Drosophila melanogaster: one gene and its partner. Changing the gene in region 2 together with the main gene of any one other region gives a genetic interaction. Each region holds a gene or a part of one and is shown on either strand. Other genes may lie near its edges. The genes, in order: Zdhhc8 and Ras64B.

The links.
Region 1: of Ras64B (region 2) and Zdhhc8, changing one enhances a phenotype caused by changing the other (phenotypic enhancement), as found in Drosophila melanogaster (one study listed by BioGRID).

Annotation. Positions count from the first base shown.
Region 1 is NC_004354.4:9,352,963-9,358,248, forward strand, and holds the start of Zdhhc8 (zinc finger DHHC-type containing 8), read right to left. Parts: upstream 3,266-5,286; 5' UTR 3,153-3,265; exon of another isoform or gene 3,025-3,152; intron 2,217-3,024; 5' UTR 1,592-2,216; coding exon 1,500-1,591; intron 1-1,499. Other genes in the region: BCL7-like, read left to right, coding at 3,958-4,303, 4,601-4,719. UniProt on the Drosophila melanogaster protein: Palmitoyltransferase that catalyzes the addition of palmitate onto various protein substrates and therefore functions in several unrelated biological processes. Regulates tissue growth possibly by regulating Ras64B protein stability.
Region 2 is NT_037436.4:4,137,350-4,141,898, forward strand, and holds Ras64B (Ras oncogene at 64B), read left to right. Parts: upstream 1-1,726; 5' UTR 1,727-1,829; coding exon 1,830-1,910; intron 1,911-2,557; coding exon 2,558-2,645; intron 2,646-2,701; coding exon 2,702-3,111; 3' UTR 3,112-4,049; downstream 4,050-4,549. Other genes in the region: Rop (Ras opposite), read right to left, coding at 1-1,465; Akh (adipokinetic hormone), read left to right, coding at 4,237-4,305, 4,374-4,544. UniProt on the Drosophila melanogaster protein: May be involved in endocytic processes and/or other transport pathways mediated by vesicle trafficking. May interact functionally with ROP protein. Ras proteins bind GDP/GTP and possess intrinsic GTPase activity.

The DNA of each region.
Region 1 (5,286 bases), on a different chromosome or scaffold from region 2:
TTGGAAAAAGGAAGGGACCCATATAGAAGCCAGGTGACGATAAAGTAGAACAAAATTGTCCTCAGGTGATGTTGGAAAAACGGTTTGCAATTTGATGAAAAACGGGGAAAATGCCAAGCGCTGCAATTGCAACTGCAATTGACCACAAGAACTCGTCATTAGGAAAAGCTTGAAGCGGGCAAACTAGGGAAAACCTATGGAAAACTGTGTGCTTAAATGGGGAAAAACTGTCTGCGGACAGTGGGGAGGCATTCGGGGGTCTCAAACAGACTGCTTAATTGCTATTTTGGTTTCGTTTCATGTGCTAATTGTGCACATGCTATGCAAATTTGTTGCTCCCTTGGCCTTCTAGTTGTCTCAAAAAAAAAAAAAAAAAAAAACAAGCAAAAAATGTTTATACCATGCGGAGGTTTCACGATTTTAATAATAATGTTATTATATAAATAATGCAGTAATATAATGTGCTCAGATAAAACCGCAAATTAATTACGAAAACAGCAAATCTTATCATGTTTTTTTTGTTTTTTGGAAAAGCTGCATTAGCTCCATGAAATATATTTTTGAAATATGAAATATTGAACATATGCTAGTTTTTCATCTAATTACCGTGACATATGTATTCCTGGCATAGACGGAAAATCTGCCAGACCCTCGAGCCACGTGCATCATCATCATATTTTTTTTTCATCCATTTTTCCCCCGGCATTTTGAAAACTGAAATTCTTTTTACGACCAAAATACACGAAAACAATTTGCGCAAAAAAAAAAACCAGCAAAATGCAAAAAGGAGCGAAAAAACCGCACAGAGCAAACTGCAAATTGAGTGCCAAGTGTGGGGGGGCGGGGGCGGTGTGAGGTGGAGATGCCGGCGGTGGGGCAGTAAAATGGCCACTGAGAGATGACTAAGACAAGGAAAATTAGGGGGGGGGGGGGCGGTGTGGTAAATGGGGCCAGACTGGATAACAACAAAGCTGCTGTCCCACATATAATAATGCATTACGGCTCGTCGTTATAATCCACGAAAATGCGAGCAAAATAAATAAAGTGCCAGCAACAAAACTGCAAGCTACTAAGAAAATAATGTGGGTGGGGCCAATGGTGGGTGGTGGGTGGAAAGCTGAGTGGGTGGCTGGGCTGGTTTTCTATGGTTTTGGCTGGCAGACGAAGGCCGAAGGGTCGTCTTTGATTACGCCGCTCCACGAGGGTGGGGGGGGGGGGGGGGGTCTAGAGAGAGGAAAGTACGCGTGTGTGGCAACAGTGAATACCGCCTAAGGCACATTCAATATTCATGAACTTCTCGCGAAGCCACCGCAAACTAACCATATATATTTAGTGATATATAGCACCCACTCGCAGATTGCACTACTTTTGTGACAATGGAAATGAAATTCAGTCGAAAGAAACTCAAAGGTATTTGGTCATTTTTTTAAGGTTTCTGAACTAAACTGTTGAATGTTATATTAACTTATAATTATTTTATCATTAAAATGGCTACTTACGGATAGAAGAAGAAGAGAAATGTGGTCAGAAGCAGCACAATCCAGGCGAAAGTCGCAGGAATGTAGCGCGTTTTCACATCGCATTTGGGCATTTTCCTATTTTCCTATTTGTTGGTTGTTGTTTCAGTTGTTGTTGTTGCTAGTGCAGTCTCTCAGTATTGCTGATTTGTTGTTGTTGCTGTTGGCCAATGTTGTTGCAGTGTCGTTGACCGTTTTTTTCTTCTTGGCAATGAAATGCGTTTTGTTTTTGTTGCTGCTGTCGCTGATGAGGTTGCCGTTTTGGTTGCAGTTGCAGTTGTTGTGCTTGCTGCTGTTGTTGTTGTTGCTGCTGCCGCTTGATGACGTTTCTTGACTTGGCTTTCTCTCAATCTATCTATCTCACTCGCTCTCTCTCTCTGTGTGTTTGTTGTTTTATTTCGTATCTTTTATATTTTGTTTAAGGATGATTTTATTTTTTTTTTTGGTTGGGGGGGGGGGGTACTTTTGGTAGGAGGGTCGGGTGGCGGGGTCGGGCGAGGGGCAGAGAGAGAGGGGGCGGGAAACAAGCGAGACGGCGAGACGAAGCGGCGACGCGTGAAACGGGATCGACGACGTCGACGGCGGCAGAGACAGCGACGCCGGCAGCGCGGCTTTCAGATTCGCGGGAAACGGAAAATCGGGAAAACTCGGGGAAAATTCAGCTTCGACTTTTCAAAGTTCTGGCTTTTGAAGCGGCTGCTGTTTTGGGGAAATTGCAGAAATAAATTTATAAATGAAACTGATTAGGTACACTCAAGAAAAATATTTCACTTAACTTTCACTTGAAAAAAAAATCACAATTTCAAATGACACATTACACTCGCATTTCATACATTCGCTATCAATTCGTATTATATTTACTGCTGAGTCCCAAGAATCTCACTTAAAAAAATGAATACTTATGATTGAATAAAATAAAATGTTTAGTGCTAATTAGCATATTGCTGCACATTTAAGTAAAATGTTTAACTTATCAAATGACAACATAGAATGAAATAAAATATCACACTAACATAGATTCCTCTAACTTAAATTCCGAAATGTTGAACTAATTTATATCGCTCGTTCCCCTTGTTTACTTTTGTTTAAATTCCTGCCATTTGAGTTGTTTACTTTATTTTAAATTTCTATAATTTATTCCAATTTGTTTGCGTTTCTCTCTCTCTCTCTTTTTCTCTTTCGGGCGAGGAGCGATTCTAGCCTTGCGTTTGCATTGGTGTTAGTATCGGTGTTAGCTTACGCACACATTTCTAATATCAATTATCCAGGGGGAAAATTTAAGAAAAAAATAAGATCGCTGGCTTTCTCCTGATTTTCGTACAACTATTTTCAATTTCGTGTGCGTTTGTCGTTTTGCCTTTTTCGTCTTTCCCCACTTTTCTTCGTTCTCTTTTCCACCGCTGCTTCTTCTTCTTCTCTTCCTCGTCCTCCTATCACCCTCTTGCTCGTTCGCCTGGCTCTTCACATATACCAGCAGACACACACATTCACGCACGCACACACATACATTCGCACACGCACGTTGTTGCTGCAACGTTTTTTTTGTTTTTTATTTCGGCGTCGCCTGCATTTTCATCTTAATTATCGCTCTCGCTCGCACGCACTGCGAGTTTCAATTCGCGTAAATAACTTCACTTTTCCCGGCTTTGTGCGACTTTTCATTCCATTCTAATGGGCGGCGAACGTTCGGTTCGCATTACGAAAAAATAAATAAAAAATAAGCGGAGCGTACGCATAATTTCGTCGGTCGGTGGAAAAACATCGAAAAACCATCGAGCCATCGAAGTGACATCGTAGCATTGTGATATCGATATGTTGTCGATGATAAAGAATCGACAAATCGATACTCATCGCGCATCGATATTTCGCCCATCACTCTCACGATGGTACACGAAAATATACTAGATTATACCATTTGGCAACATTGGCGTTGCCAGATAATAGAAACCGTTGGACTAACAGTTCAAAATTATTATTTAAAAATTTAACGGTTGTAGCTGTTCAAAAACAAACGGCTAATAATTTAGCTCAGCTCAAAAATTAAGCACTTGAGTTACAAATCATACACGAATTAATAAGCTATCACACTTTAGCACGGACCTTTAGCCAATGGTCACACTGCAGCCCGTGAAAACAACGGGCAATCATTCGATAACATCAGTTGAAAATCACGCTTGCTATCGATTACTTATTTTTGTTGTATTAAAAAATATTTTTGCGAATTGCCAAAAAAACTGAACTATCCACTGGTTAACTGGTCGAGACCAGCCAAAATCACGAGACACGATCCCACTTAAAAGCCAGACGGGGAGAGTTCAGTTGTGAAGCAGCCAGAAGTAGCGAAAACACTTAGCGGCTTTTCGTGTGACGCCGACTTTGGCTAAGGAGGAAAAGCGATTAAAGCAGGAAGAGCCAGACCAGGCGCCATCGACCCACAGACATGTCGCGCAGCGTGCGGGCGGAGACGCGCAGCCGGGCGAAGGATGACATCAAGCGGGTGATGCAGGCGGTGGACAAGGTGCGCCACTGGGAGAAGAAGTGGGTGACCATCAGCGACACCACCATGAAAATCTACAAATGGGTGCCCATCGCCTCCGCCAGTGAGAAGAAGGCCAAGCTGGAGTCCTCGCCGGGATCGGCTGCTGTCCGGAGACCGCCCCCCGGCTCGGGCGTTACGCCGGTCGGCGGCAGCAAGAGCGATAAGGAGAACTCTCAGAAGGGCACGCCCACGCCGCCGCAGATCACGCCCAGCTACCAGGGACTAACCGCCGAGGACTCTAACACCTGTAAGGATGGCTATGTGCTGGTTCTCTTTAAATAAGTAGTTGGGTTCTATGTCTGCAAGCACTGCGTTAGGAGCCAAAACAAAAAAACAGGATGCAGTATATGGATTTTAGGACCTTTACGAGGTGCCATTAGTCTCATAAGCTTGCGGAGCTGCTATAAAAATTGCTGTCTTTGCATTAGCGATATTGTTTACATTTGGTTTTTGGCTTCAAAGCGTATTTCCTATTCAGCACAATTTATCACTCCAAAGCACATGTTTACTCTGTCTTATTCATGCGATCTCTATCTGTACACAGGTTTCTCCGTCGTGTCCGACAGCCAGGGCGCCGACTTCGTGTCGAGTATGCCCTTCTCTGAGGACTCGAACTCGCAGGGCAGCGATGGACCCGTGAAGCGATTGAAGACGAGCGACTAGCCAAACATTCGCAGGCACAGCGTCTACAGCAGCAGCAGCAACTAACTAAGAGCCCTAGTTAAGTTAGGTTAGCACCGACAGCACCGGACGACGAGAGAGTATCTGCCTCAGCCCAAGACTTAAGCACTTCCCTTACACTAGCAGTTTCTTTACGGCTGTCAGACTGTCCCGCCATAAGCCTCATTTATTTGTCATCAAAGCGGGGGTAGCTGATGGTCGATAGGTCATAGGTCCATAGCATTAAGATCAAATGTGACAACTTATTTATTAGAAAGACATGCGAATCGATTTGAGTACGAACGTAGAATGGATATGTAATTTTGTAATAGCTGCTTAAGATACAAAACAGCCAGTCTGAATGTTGTAAACCGTGTAAAGTTTTTTGACTTTCGATTTCTAGACGTTTTGACAACAACTAGTTTATAACTTAGCGTACTAACATAAAGGCTACTTTTTTTTGTTCACTATAAAACTGGCTTGAAAACAATTGATGTACTCGTTCATAAGTTGATTTTCCTTGTAAATTTCGCTTGTAAACGCTTTTCTACGCATTCAGTGAATGCAACA
Region 2 (4,549 bases):
CCGGTGTCCAGCGGGACATCTGGTAGGTGCTTTCTGTGGTGCGCTCCTTGCGCGGCACCGAGTACTGCTTCTTGCGCGAATCTGCAATGACATTGATGCCCAAGCAACTAAGGTTACGCACCATATCCTGATCCTTCGGCGACAGCTGGGCATGCGTAAACAGCTTGGTCAGGTTCTCCTCGGAAATTCCGTTCTTGATCATGACGTACAGGGCAATGATGCGAACCTTGTCGTAGTTCGAGACATTGGCGTCCAGCAAGATGGGCACAATGTTGCGCATATGATCCTTGATCTTTTCGCCCTCGGCGTCCGTGCCCATGGCCAGATCCTGTTCCACGCGGCACAGCTTGTCCACGTAGTTCTGGTACGACTTCATGCAGTCCTCGGCCAAATGCAAGTGGGTGGAGTACTTGGACAGCTCCTTCTGGTACTGCGGCATCTTCTTGATCATCTGCGAGAGATCGCGCATCGACGACTTGTCAGCCGAGCCCATGCGCTTAGAGTCGGTGAATTTCTTAAGGTTCTGAGTCACCTGGGTGGAGACCACAGCGATATGCTCGTGACGCAGCTCCACCCACAAGTCGTCGTTCTCGTCGAGCAGCACCTCCTTATCCGGCTGGTTGGGGCCGGGCGTGTAGCGATACACGTCATTGACGATGGGTAGCAAATCGTAGGCCATGGCCTGCAGGGTGAGCTCGTGCAGCAGCGGCGACACGCAGTCGAAGCCGCGATCCAGGATCAGCAGCTGGGATCGTGCCTTCTCGGGGCCCTCGCCCATGGTGGCATCGTCGGCCTTGTAGGCGTCCAGCTTCTGCTGCACCGACGCGGCCAAATCGATGTTCCTGTCCCAGTCGCTGCGGTAGCGCACATTTGGGTACTCCCCAAGGGTAGCGCACAGTGTGGCTATTTGCTCGGCAATTCGCTCGATGTGCTTGCTCCGAATGGAGGCAAAGGCCGGCGAGTAGAGGCATTGGAATGTGTCCGGCGAGTCCAGCGAGAACACCTGGCATTCGTATGGCAAAAATGCAATGTTGATCTCCTTCAGCGTCTTGATCTTTCCGGCCGCGCACGACTTGCACAGATCGTTGAATAGCTCCTCGGGACAAACTTCGGTGAAGAAGACATGGGCATAGCGATACATGGGCCGCGCTGGGTTCTCGAAGTCTCGTATCAGACCGCGCACTGACTCATCCGACGGCGTAATCAGATAGATCGCGTCCATCGTGGGCAGCGGCTCGCGCTTCTTGTTGATGTCCTCAACCAGGGTGATGCCCTCGGCGCTGATTTCGTGCATCTTGGTGCAGGCGGACACCATGCGCATACCCAGCTTGTCCACCACCAGCACCCGCCATTCCATGCCGCCCGCCCCCGCAGCGGACGTAACGCCCTGCTTTTTGGGTGGTGGAGGCTTGTACTTCACCACCTCGTTCATCAGCTTTTGGCCCACCAGCACTTTCAAGGCCATTTTCACTGCGTTTTATTGGTCACGGGCGCAAAGGCAACTCGATTATGAACACACTGCGTGTAAATATGTCTTTTTAGCTTATTCCGTTCGCTTTTTCGCGTGGGCTAACTTGACTTAAAGAATTTTATCTATTCCTTGGCCAATTTTTCTGTATTTTTTTCGTTTGATGACTTAGCCTTAGTGATGGGCGAAAGTCGATTGCTGGCTAGCGATAGTTGATATCGATATTACTGTCTAGCAGAGACGCGCACCCGTCTCAGTGCGAGTGTGGATTTCTCAGTTAACCGAGAACGGTCACGCTGCTGCTGTCGAGGAAGGAAAATAAAATAATTTTGCTGGCCAACTGGTCGATTTAAACGGGGAAATGCAGATGCAAACGTACAAACTGGTGGTCGTCGGCGGCGGCGGCGTGGGCAAGTCAGCGATAACGATACAGTTCATCCAGGTAAGCCGCCCAGCATCGGCCCAATCCCTGGTGACGTCGCTTTCCACAGGGGCGTTTGAATGTGGGAGTGGGGGGCGATGGCGCACAGGGGCGGTGGCAGGGGGACGGCCCTTGTTTTGGCCAGAGCAACAAACAAGCAACAAGCGACTGTGATGTGCGTCTGTGTTTGGACATGCGTGTGCATAGTTTCGGGCCGAGATCATCACCAACACAATCATCATCATCATCATCATTGGCAGCATCATCATCGCGGTGGCCACACCCCCGTGTGTATCTCCAATTGGGGATCAAGTGGTCAGAGCCCAGAACCAGGGAGTTGCGTTAGACGCAGCCCCCAGTTTTCTGGGTGTGCCGATCGATTCCCCGAGAGTTTGTGCCATGGTCACGACCACAATGACCGCCCGCTTCCATTTATTTTTAGTCATTTGCGTCATCTGCACATCTTTCGTGTATATGCTGTAGCTTTTCCCCAAGATATATAGAGCATAGTGGATAGTGAATGATAAAAGTGACGTGTGTAAACAAATCAAAGGCGGAATGATAAACGCACCCCGCCCACATAAAAAACCCAGTCTTATAATGTTTATATATGTAGTTTTGTGGCCTCGGCAGCTGGCGGTACAATAATTTTAATCCTAATCTTGCAGAGCTACTTCGTCACGGACTACGATCCCACCATTGAAGACTCGTACACGAAGCAGTGCAACATCGACGATGTGCCAGCCAAATTGGACAGTAAGCTTCCTTTCTTTACCCTTACCAGATTCATAATAACCTGATATTTTACCTAGTTTTGGACACGGCTGGCCAGGAGGAGTTCAGTGCCATGCGGGAGCAGTACATGCGCTCCGGCGAGGGATTCCTGCTCGTCTTCGCGCTCAACGATCATTCCAGCTTCGATGAGATCCCCAAGTTCCAGCGCCAGATACTGCGCGTCAAGGATCGCGACGAGTTCCCCATGCTGATGGTGGGTAACAAGTGCGACCTGAAGCACCAGCAGCAGGTGTCCCTGGAGGAGGCGCAGAACACCAGCCGCAACCTGATGATCCCCTACATCGAGTGCAGTGCCAAACTGAGGGTCAACGTCGATCAGGCCTTCCACGAGCTCGTGAGGATCGTGCGCAAGTTCCAGATCGCCGAGCGTCCCTTCATCGAGCAGGATTACAAGAAGAAGGGCAAGAGGAAGTGCTGCCTGATGTAGAAGGAACTAAATGGAAGAGAATCTCCTGAATGCCGCAGCGGAAGCAGGAGCCAACATATAATGATTATAACACCAAATTTTTTGAAAAACACGCGTCGACTGAGCTTTGAATTCCGTTGAGAAGACGATAAACCAGTAACCCGAAACCAGTAACCGCACAAAACGTGTCAACGAGCCCAAACGAAGTGCATTTCTTACCTGCCCAGGTGCATGGCGCATTCAACGAACGAATCGAATAAACTTCGCCACTCTCAAATAGCTACGAAGAATCTTACAACTGACAACTAACAATGCAAAATGCAAACAGAAACACGAAACATAGGTAGATATATACAACAGATTCACACGAATAACTTATATATACATATATATTTCTACATATATTTTTGTAATATTATTTTGTTGATCAACGACAACAATTAAGGACGAATGTTTTCATGATTATTACCAATCGTGGCTCGCAGGCCATTTGTTTTTATAATGCAATAACTAAGCCCAGAACGTTTGTTTCGATTAAGCCAAAACGTAATAATGTGTTATTGTAATTTGTATTGTTATTTACTACTAATATATACGTATACATATATTAACTGCTTACAAACCGATTTTGTTGTAACAAATTGAGTGCCTCGTTCTCGCGCGTAGAAATCTAAAACATCAAACTCTGTATTACACCCACGGCATTTTTGTACTATACCCGCAGCTGCCAGGCGCGCACAACTCACTTAACGATACTTTTGTACATGTCCCCAGTCGGATCCGGATCCTATGGTTTATTGTTCGCCAAATGTATTGCAACAGTTGCTTTAGCCGCAATCTTGTTTTAACTCTTATACACTGCTTAATTTAACGAACTTATTTAATGGTATATAAATAAATATATAATTAAATTTAAAATTAAACATATGCGCAATTCTAATAAACACATGGAGAATCACAAACGCTTCCACATAGAAGATTGTTTCAATGACGCTCTCGACTGGAATTGAAAATTCCGACCCAATCCAAGCAATTATAGAAAGAATCCTTGCTAGTGCTGTGTTAATTACTTACCAGCTGTCTTCCCTTCGAGCTCAATGGGTATAAAAGCGGGCTGAATCGAAGTGGACCAGCATAGAACTCAGAATGAATCCCAAGAGCGAAGTCCTCATTGCAGCCGTGCTCTTCATGCTGCTGGCCTGCGTCCAGTGTCAAGTGAGTGAATTCATATCCCGCTGCAGGATATCCCTTTCTGATGTCTCATTTTATTTTCCTCTATATAGTTGACCTTCTCGCCGGATTGGGGCAAGCGTTCGGTGGGCGGAGCTGGTCCTGGAACCTTTTTCGAGACACAGCAGGGCAACTGCAAGACCTCCAACGAAATGCTGCTCGAGATCTTCCGCTTCGTGCAATCTCAGGCACAGCTCTTTCTGGACTGCAAGCACCGCGAGTAGATAGC